Macaca fascicularis: one gene and its partner. The protein of the gene in region 2 interacts with the protein of the main gene of each other region in a biochemical or structural test. Links are inferred from orthologs where the notes say so. Each region holds a gene or a part of one and is shown on either strand. Other genes may lie near its edges. The genes, in order: KSR1 and MARK3.

Region 1 (3,817 bases), on a different chromosome or scaffold from region 2:
CCTCAGCATAGTTCCTGCATGCTGCACCCCTCCTCATTCCCAAGACCCCGCCCACAGCTACGTGACTCTCCTAGCCAGCTCGGGATAGTACAAAAATAAACTCCTATTTTGCTCAGGCAAAAACCAGACATCTCTGCATTTCCAGACAATTAAAAGCAGACTCCAGAGGCACAGCTGTCTCCCTCCACTCTGACTCATGAGCGAGGCCCCACAGCACAGCCACGTGCAGGAACGTGCTCCCAACCTGGAGGTGGGGGTGGGAAAGGGGGTCAAGGGTTGCCCATGTGTCCTCCCATCCCAAAGGGGCATCTGCACCTCCCATCTTTTGGGGCGTCATTCAGAGTTGTGCTGCATTTCTGCCTCCAGGAATGTCCCTCTCCTGAAGAGTGGGGTCCCGGGACATCAGGTGGGGTTCTGGGGATGGCTAAAGTCCACTGAAACCAGGCAGATGGCACCGCCTTCCCGGGGGCAGTGCTTTACCATGGCAGCCCAGCAGGCCAGAGTCCCTGCTGGAGAGTCTCGGTGGGCAAGGGCAAGGTGGAGACAGGGCTCTTCATGGGGCTGCCCATGGGCCGAGATGCGCTCAAGGTCTCTGCTTCTCAGAGAACAGCTGCCAGCTAGGCTGAAGCCAGCCAGTCACTTTAAGGCCACCTGTCTTAGGGTTATTTCCTGAGGCGGTCACCAGCACCTCTGCTTCTGGACTATGGAGAGGCCGAATGGGCTAAGAGGGTGGTCAAAGAGGTCCACCCCCGATGGCGACAGCAACGCACACACGACTCCCAGGTGGTAGAGGGGATGGAAATGAATCGCTCTTACCAAACCTAGAGGAGACAAAAAGCAGAGAGGGGGATTACGTCACCATGCTGGCTCGGCGCGTTCCTAGAACATTACCTTTGGGCGGGAGCAGGCAAGGGGCTGGGATGCAGGACTTTGAGGCCTGGCTTGAGGCCAGGCTGTGGCTGAGTGACTGTGGGAACCCCTGCAATCTCTGTGGGGACATTTCCTCAATGGAAAGGACTAGAAGGGCATTCCCCGGGCCTCCCCAGGGGACATTGAAACTCAGTGCTGTGCACTTTAATACATTAGCTTACATAAGCCTCGCCAGCAACCAAGCATGGTAATTAGAGTTCAGCCCATTTCACAGCCAAGAAAACTGAGCCTCAGGGGGCTGGCTGAGTAGGTCACATGGCTCACAGTGGGAGAGCCTGGCCCAGAGCCAGGCAAGAAAAGGGGTAAATCAGCTGGAGAGACCAGGCCTGGTGGCTCATGCCTGTAATCCCAGCACTTTGAGAAGCCGACACAAGTGGATCACCTAGGTCAGGAATTCAAGACCAGCCTGGCCAATGTGATGAAACCTTGTGTCTATTAAAAATACAAAAATTAGCCAGGTGTGGTGACGCATGCCTATAATCCCAGGTACTCAGGAGGCTGAGGCATGAGAATCGCTTGAACCCGGGAGGCGGAGGTTGCAGTGAGCTGAGATTGCACCACTGCACTCCAGCCTGGGCAGCAGAGCGAGACTCCTTCTCAGAAAAAGAAAAAAAAAATTATCAGTTGGAGAGGGTGTGGCTGGACAGGAAGGCAGAGATAACAGCCATGCAGAGCAGAGGTAGCCCCTGAAAGGAGAGTCACGCAGGGACACACCCTGAGCCTCCCCAGGGGGCTGCCACTGCCCCCAAGAACACATGGAGCTGGAGGAAACAGAGCACTCAGGGGTCACCAGAACAGCGAGGTGGCCTGAGCGTCACGTCAGTGCTGGTTCTGGTAACTCTGCAGGGACTGGACTCAGAATCCCAGGGTCTGAGGCTCAGTCACTGGCTGGAGTTTGAGGCTAGTTGTATCATCTGCCTGAGGCTGTGTCCCTGCCACCTTCCAGCATGCGAATGAGACCAGAGCTTTCCTAATGTTCTTCTTGGGAGAAGACAGAAACAGAGGGACTGGGTTGAGCCCACTGTGAGATGTCCTCTGACCCATGTTCGTGTGGTCATCATCACTGCATTCTACAGCCCCTTCTGGGTGGGACCCAGGCCCCAGCAGGACAGCCCAAGAGGGAACAGCAGGGTCAGTGACACCTGGATCTCTCCTCCTTGGGTGGCACACTCAAACCCATTGGAGCTGTCCAGGCTCCATCCCATAAAGGACCTGAACAGCATGCACTGGGAGAGGGGATCAGGCCCATTCCAAAGATGACTCCAAGGCCCAAGATACACCAGAGCCCAAGGAACCCCCTAGAAAATGGGTGCCCTTGTCGCTTCTTTACCTTTTGGCTAAGATCAAGTGTAGAAAAGTGGTGCCCAGGCTGAGGAGAGAAACCAGGTGCCCCAATCCTCGGGGTACAAGAAGGTAAGAGGCACCCAAGGAGAACTCTCCCTTTCTTTCTGTGCTGTCCACAAGGGTATATTGACAAGGGCAATCTTTGTAATAAAAAAAGACTATAATCTAATGCCCATCAAGAAGGGGACAAGATAAACTATACAATGAAATAATATGAACAAGTCAAACAAATGGGGTTTAAATAATTATAGACATACACAAAACTGCTAGCCTGGTTGGCTCCTGAAAGGGGAACCACGTGACTGAATAAAAATGGTGGGGTAGAGTTTTCACCGCGTACCCTGAGAAGCCACAGAGCTGCTGCACTTTGGATCGTGTGACTGTCTCACTTGTTCAAAATCCATAGATAGAAAAAACTTTTAAGTCAAAAACTAAACAAAAGAGTAAAATATTCCAAGATGTACTGACATGATGTTCCCAGAGATACCAAGGGAAGTTGAAAAAACAAGTCATGGGACAGAGTAGATGGTATGGTATCTGATAGTCACTAGTGGTTTCCACCAAATATTCCAGTTCTCTCCTCTTGGGCGTGTGGGCAAAGAGCACAGTTTCATTCTCCTGTTCAGGTTGGGCCAGGAATGGTGAGTGGAACTTCCAAGAAAGAGTACTCAACTGCCAGGGCATGACATCTGGAACTCACTTTTCCCCCTGCCACCGTGGCCAGCAATGCTCAGACAGTCTGGGCCCGGAAGGAGGCTGACCCATGATGGACAAGATGGACAAGGCGGCATGAGCAAGAAACAAATCTTTGTTCCTTTAAGACCTGGCAATTTGGGGATATCTGTTATTTCCGTGTAACCCGGCCTACCCTGACCCATACGTGGCATCACGTCATGTGCACGCACGTGTACATACAGAACCAAATCTAGAAGGATTCAGGCCACACCGCTGAAGCAGTCTGAGGAATGGACTGAAAGATGGGGGTACCTTTTACTTTTGACTTTACATGCTTCTATAGGGGTTGATTGTATTGGTCCTTCCATGTATCTTTATAATTAGAAAACCACAGAGGGCACTTTTGGTAGCTGCCCAGAAGGAGCACTCACCTCATCGAGGAGACCTCGTCAATGCGGTTCCCCAGCTGAGACTCGTGGGACTTACTCCGGGTGAGCGTGGGGAAGCTGGGCAGCAGCTGGAAGACCTTGCGGCTGGGTGGGGGGGGCGTCCGCGGTGGCTTCAGCTTGGTGTGCCGTCGCAGCTGGGGTGTGGTGGGCGGGGTGATGAAGCTGTGCAGGGCACGCGGGGTCAGCCGGCCACTGGCATGCAGGGGAATACAGGTATCCGAGAGGCCCTCACTGAAGCTGGGGGTGGGGGAGTCTGAGGCAGGCAGACCTGACACGGAGATGGAGCGTGGGCCCTGGGCACTGTTGCCTGCTCTGCCCAGCTGGGAGCTCCCCAGGGGCCAGGGCAGGCTGGCTGGTGAGAGAGTGTCCGTGGAAGGCCCCGAGCCACTTTCCCGCCGTGCATCCAACGAACTCCAACT
Region 2 (3,817 bases):
TATTAGGAAGTTAAACTTTTCATTAACACAGACCTCTCATAAACCGTTCATTCAGAGAGAGGAGGAATCACAACGTACAAAAATGACAACCCTAAACTCAAGTAAAAGCAGTTTTCTGACTGCTGGAAAGACATTAAAGGTAATGTATGTGTGATTTTCTTCCCAGGCTTTCTCAAATTTAACTTTAAATGCTCTATTTACTTCATCTGATGCTTTACGTCATTTCTAAGCTATTAATGACTATAGGTTAATTTATGAAAGACCAGGTTTATGATAATATCCATCTTTTTTTTTTTTTTGAGACATAGTCTCACTCTGTCACCCAGGCTGTAGTGCAGTGGTGCGATCTTGGCTCACCGCAACCTCTGCCTCTCAGGGTCAAGTGGTTCTCTTGCCCCAGCCTCCCAAGTAGCTGGGATTACAGGTATGCGCCAACACATCCGGCTAATTTTCTGTTTGTTTGTTTGTTTGTTTGTTTGTTTGTTTTAGCAGAGACAGAGTTTCCCTATGTTGGCCAGTCTGGTCTCGAACTCCTGGTCTCAAGTGATCTGTCCACCTTGGTCTCCCAAAGTGCTGGGATTACAGGTGTGAGCCACCACACCTGGTCAATATCCATCATTAAGGGTTAAGTTAAAATAGCTTATAATAGTCAGAGGATTTAGATTTGCTATTTGCAGGTAAAGCTAAAAAATGATGTATCAAATGTTACAAATATTCAAAAGATAAAAACTAAGAAAACAGTTTATATAAACTAATAATTACATAAAGGGTATTTCAGCTCTTTCTCTCTGATCACTCTTACCTCTGAAGATTTTCTCCCCAGTAACAAATATGTAGCTGTGATTTCATCATATTTCATTTTACTAAGAGATTCTTGAATTTCTTCTTGTGAATATCCCATTCCCACCATAATATCTAAAAGAAAGGCATAATACAGTTTGTGTTTTGTTTGGGTAAGAAATCATCCTTTTTTTTTTTTTTGAGACAGAGTTTTGCTCTTGTTGCCCAGGATGGAGTGCAATGGCGTGATTTCGGCTCACCGCAACCTCCACCTCCCAGATTCAAGCAATTCTCCTGCCTCAGCCTCCCAAGTAGCTGGGATTACAGGCATGCGCCACCACACTCGGCTAATTTTGTATTTTTAGTAGAGATGGGGTTTCTGCATGTTGGTCAGGCTGGTCTCGACCTCCTGACCTCAGGTGATCTGCCCACGTCGGCCTCCCAAAGTGCTGGGATTACAGGCATGAGCCACTGTGCCCAGCCAGAAATCATTCTTTTATAGGGTAAAGTAATTTTCATTTGACCTAAAAGATGACATATTACATACATTTTCTAACATAAATGGGCACTTGTTTCAGAGTTACTGGAAACTACAGGTAGTTACGTTCCTAAATATGACAGAACAGATAAACTGTTCATATAACTTGTGCTTAACTTTCCATTATTCACATTTTAGGCACAGACATGAGTCAAAACAGAAATGTGTTACTTAGACAACTACACATGAACATGCAGGCATGGAGTCATTACCTATTCTTTTTTGGTCTGAGATGTCTAGCTCTGGTTCAACGAATGGTTTCAGTTCATCTTCTTCATGCCCTGCATTGATCCACCTGTCCTTCATGATTTGCTAAAAAAGGTAAACTGTTCATTAGCAGAGTAAAATGAAATATTCTGACAACCATAATATTTACAAAAATTTATTTTCAACATTTCATTGACTATCGTTCAAAACATAAACTCAAAAATATTTTTTTTAATGTTTTAATTCTTCCTTAAGAAGCCGCAGGATGTATCCAGTAGGGCATACAAATCAAGCAAAGACCTAAGGCCACTCTAAAGACTCTCCAAAGTTGTTGCTTGTTTCCACCTACATGATTACCTCTAGAGTGCCGCGTTTAATTGGATTTAGCACCAGGAAACGTTTGAGAAGGTTTTCACAGTCTGTAGACATGTAGAAGGGAATTCTGTATTTCCCTCTTAATACTCTCTCTCTCAGTTCCTTTGGGGAGGTAGAGAGGAAAGAAAACAAGTAAGTCAACCTTTTAGGTTTAGTTAACAAAGCACCACAAAAAACCCCCTGAAACCCCTCCACTGATACAATGTTAAAAAATATTAAGCCATACAATATTTGGAAACTTCTTTTAGTTTAGTGAAGTACATGGGTGCAGCTTCTTATACCTTTAGGTTTTGCCCATCAAAGGGAAGTGAGCCACTGACTAGTGTGTATAAAATGACCCCCAGACTCCATACATCCACTTCTGGCCCGTCGTATTTCTTGCCCTGGAAGAGCTCAGGTGCTGCGTATGGAGGACTGCCACAAAACGTGTCGAGTTTACTGCCAACGGTAAATTCATTGCTAAAACCGAAATCTGCTATTTTAATGTTCATATCGGCATCTAACAATAGATTTTCAGCCTAGAGGGAAAACATGAAGACAAAAATGAAATTTAACCAAAATAGAATTAGAATTACGACAGGATTAGGCATTTCAGAAAAGTTTTCTGTAATGATATAAAGTTACCTCCTAATTAATGTGAAAACATTCTTTCTACAGACAAAAACAGGAGACAAGTTAGAGCTCCTTATTTTATAACTAACAATAATAAACATGAAGTATAGATTAATTCTAGCACTAATTTAAACATCAATGTTCCAAGATCAAGAAAAATCTTGACAATTTTTTTTCAATTAATAATAATAATAATAATAATAATAATAATATGGGGGCCGGGCACGGTGGCTCATACCTATAATCCCAGCACTTTGGGAGGCCGAGGTGGCCGAATCATCTGAGGCCAGGAGTTTGAGACCAGCCTAGTCAACATGGTGAAACCCTGTCTTTACTAAAAATACAAAAATCAGCTGGGCATGGTGGTACACACCTGTAATCCCAGCTACTCAGGAGGCTGAGGCAGGAGAACTGCTTGAACCCGGGAGGGGGAGGTTGCAGTGAGCTGAGATCGTGCCACTGCACTCCAGCCTGGGCGACAGAGTGATACTCCATCTCAAAAACAAAAAACAAGAATAATATGGGGCAGGGGTAGGGGCAGGGCCAGGTACAAGTGGCTCACTTGGGCCCAGGAGTTCGAGACCACCTTGGGCAATATAGTGAGACCCCTTCTCTACAAAAAAAAAATAAAATAAAATTAGCTGGGTATGGTGGCACACGTCTGTAATCCCAGCTACTTGGAAGGCTTATGTGGGAGGATCTCTTAAGCCTGGGAGTTTGAGGCTGCAATGAGCTATGATTGTGCCACTGCACTCCAGCCTGGGTGACAGAGTAAAACCCTGTCTCAAAAAATACATAACTTTTTTAAAAAAGGGGCATTTCATAAAAACTGCTGAATAGCTATAAAATGGCTGTTAATGAGGAGGGGAGAATCCCAAACCTCATTCAAGAGTCAAATCACGGCTGAGTGCGGTGGCTCACGCCTGTAATCACAGCACTTCTGGAAGCTGAGGCGGGTGGATCACCTGAGGTCAGGAGTTCGAGACCAGTCTGGCCAACATGGTGAAGCCTCATCTCTACCAAAAATACAAAAAATTAGCCAGGTGTGGTGGTGGGCACCTGTAATCCCAGCTACTTGAGAGGTTGAGGCAGGAGAATCGCTTGAACGTGGGAGGTGGAGGTTGCAGTGAGCTGAGATTGCACCACTGCACTCCAGCCAGGGCGACAGAGCGAGACTCTGCCTCAAAAAAAAAAAAAAAAAAAAGAGAGAGACAAATCACAGTCACTTTATTTTATTTTTTTTTGAGACGGAGTCTCGCTCTGTCGCCCAGGCTGGAGTGCAGTGGCACGATCTCGGCTCACTGC

Evidence for each region.
Region 1: of the proteins of MARK3 (region 2) and KSR1, one has a biochemical effect on the other in vitro, tested with the Homo sapiens proteins (2 studies listed by BioGRID). The link is inferred for Macaca fascicularis from reciprocal best matches to the Homo sapiens genes MARK3 and KSR1.

Annotation. Positions count from the first base shown.
Region 1 is NC_088390.1:33,049,067-33,052,883, reverse strand, and holds part of KSR1 (kinase suppressor of Ras 1), read right to left. Parts: coding exon 3,381-3,817; intron 3,200-3,380; coding exon 3,195-3,199; intron 500-3,194; exon of another isoform or gene 481-499; intron 245-480; exon of another isoform or gene 1-244.
Region 2 is NC_088381.1:171,635,443-171,639,259, reverse strand, and holds part of MARK3 (MAP/microtubule affinity-regulating kinase 3), read right to left. Parts: intron 2,419-3,817; coding exon 2,182-2,418; intron 2,003-2,181; coding exon 1,883-2,002; intron 1,631-1,882; coding exon 1,531-1,630; intron 916-1,530; coding exon 803-915; intron 1-802. UniProt on the Homo sapiens protein: Serine/threonine-protein kinase. Involved in the specific phosphorylation of microtubule-associated proteins for MAP2 and MAP4. Phosphorylates the microtubule-associated protein MAPT/TAU. Phosphorylates CDC25C on 'Ser-216'.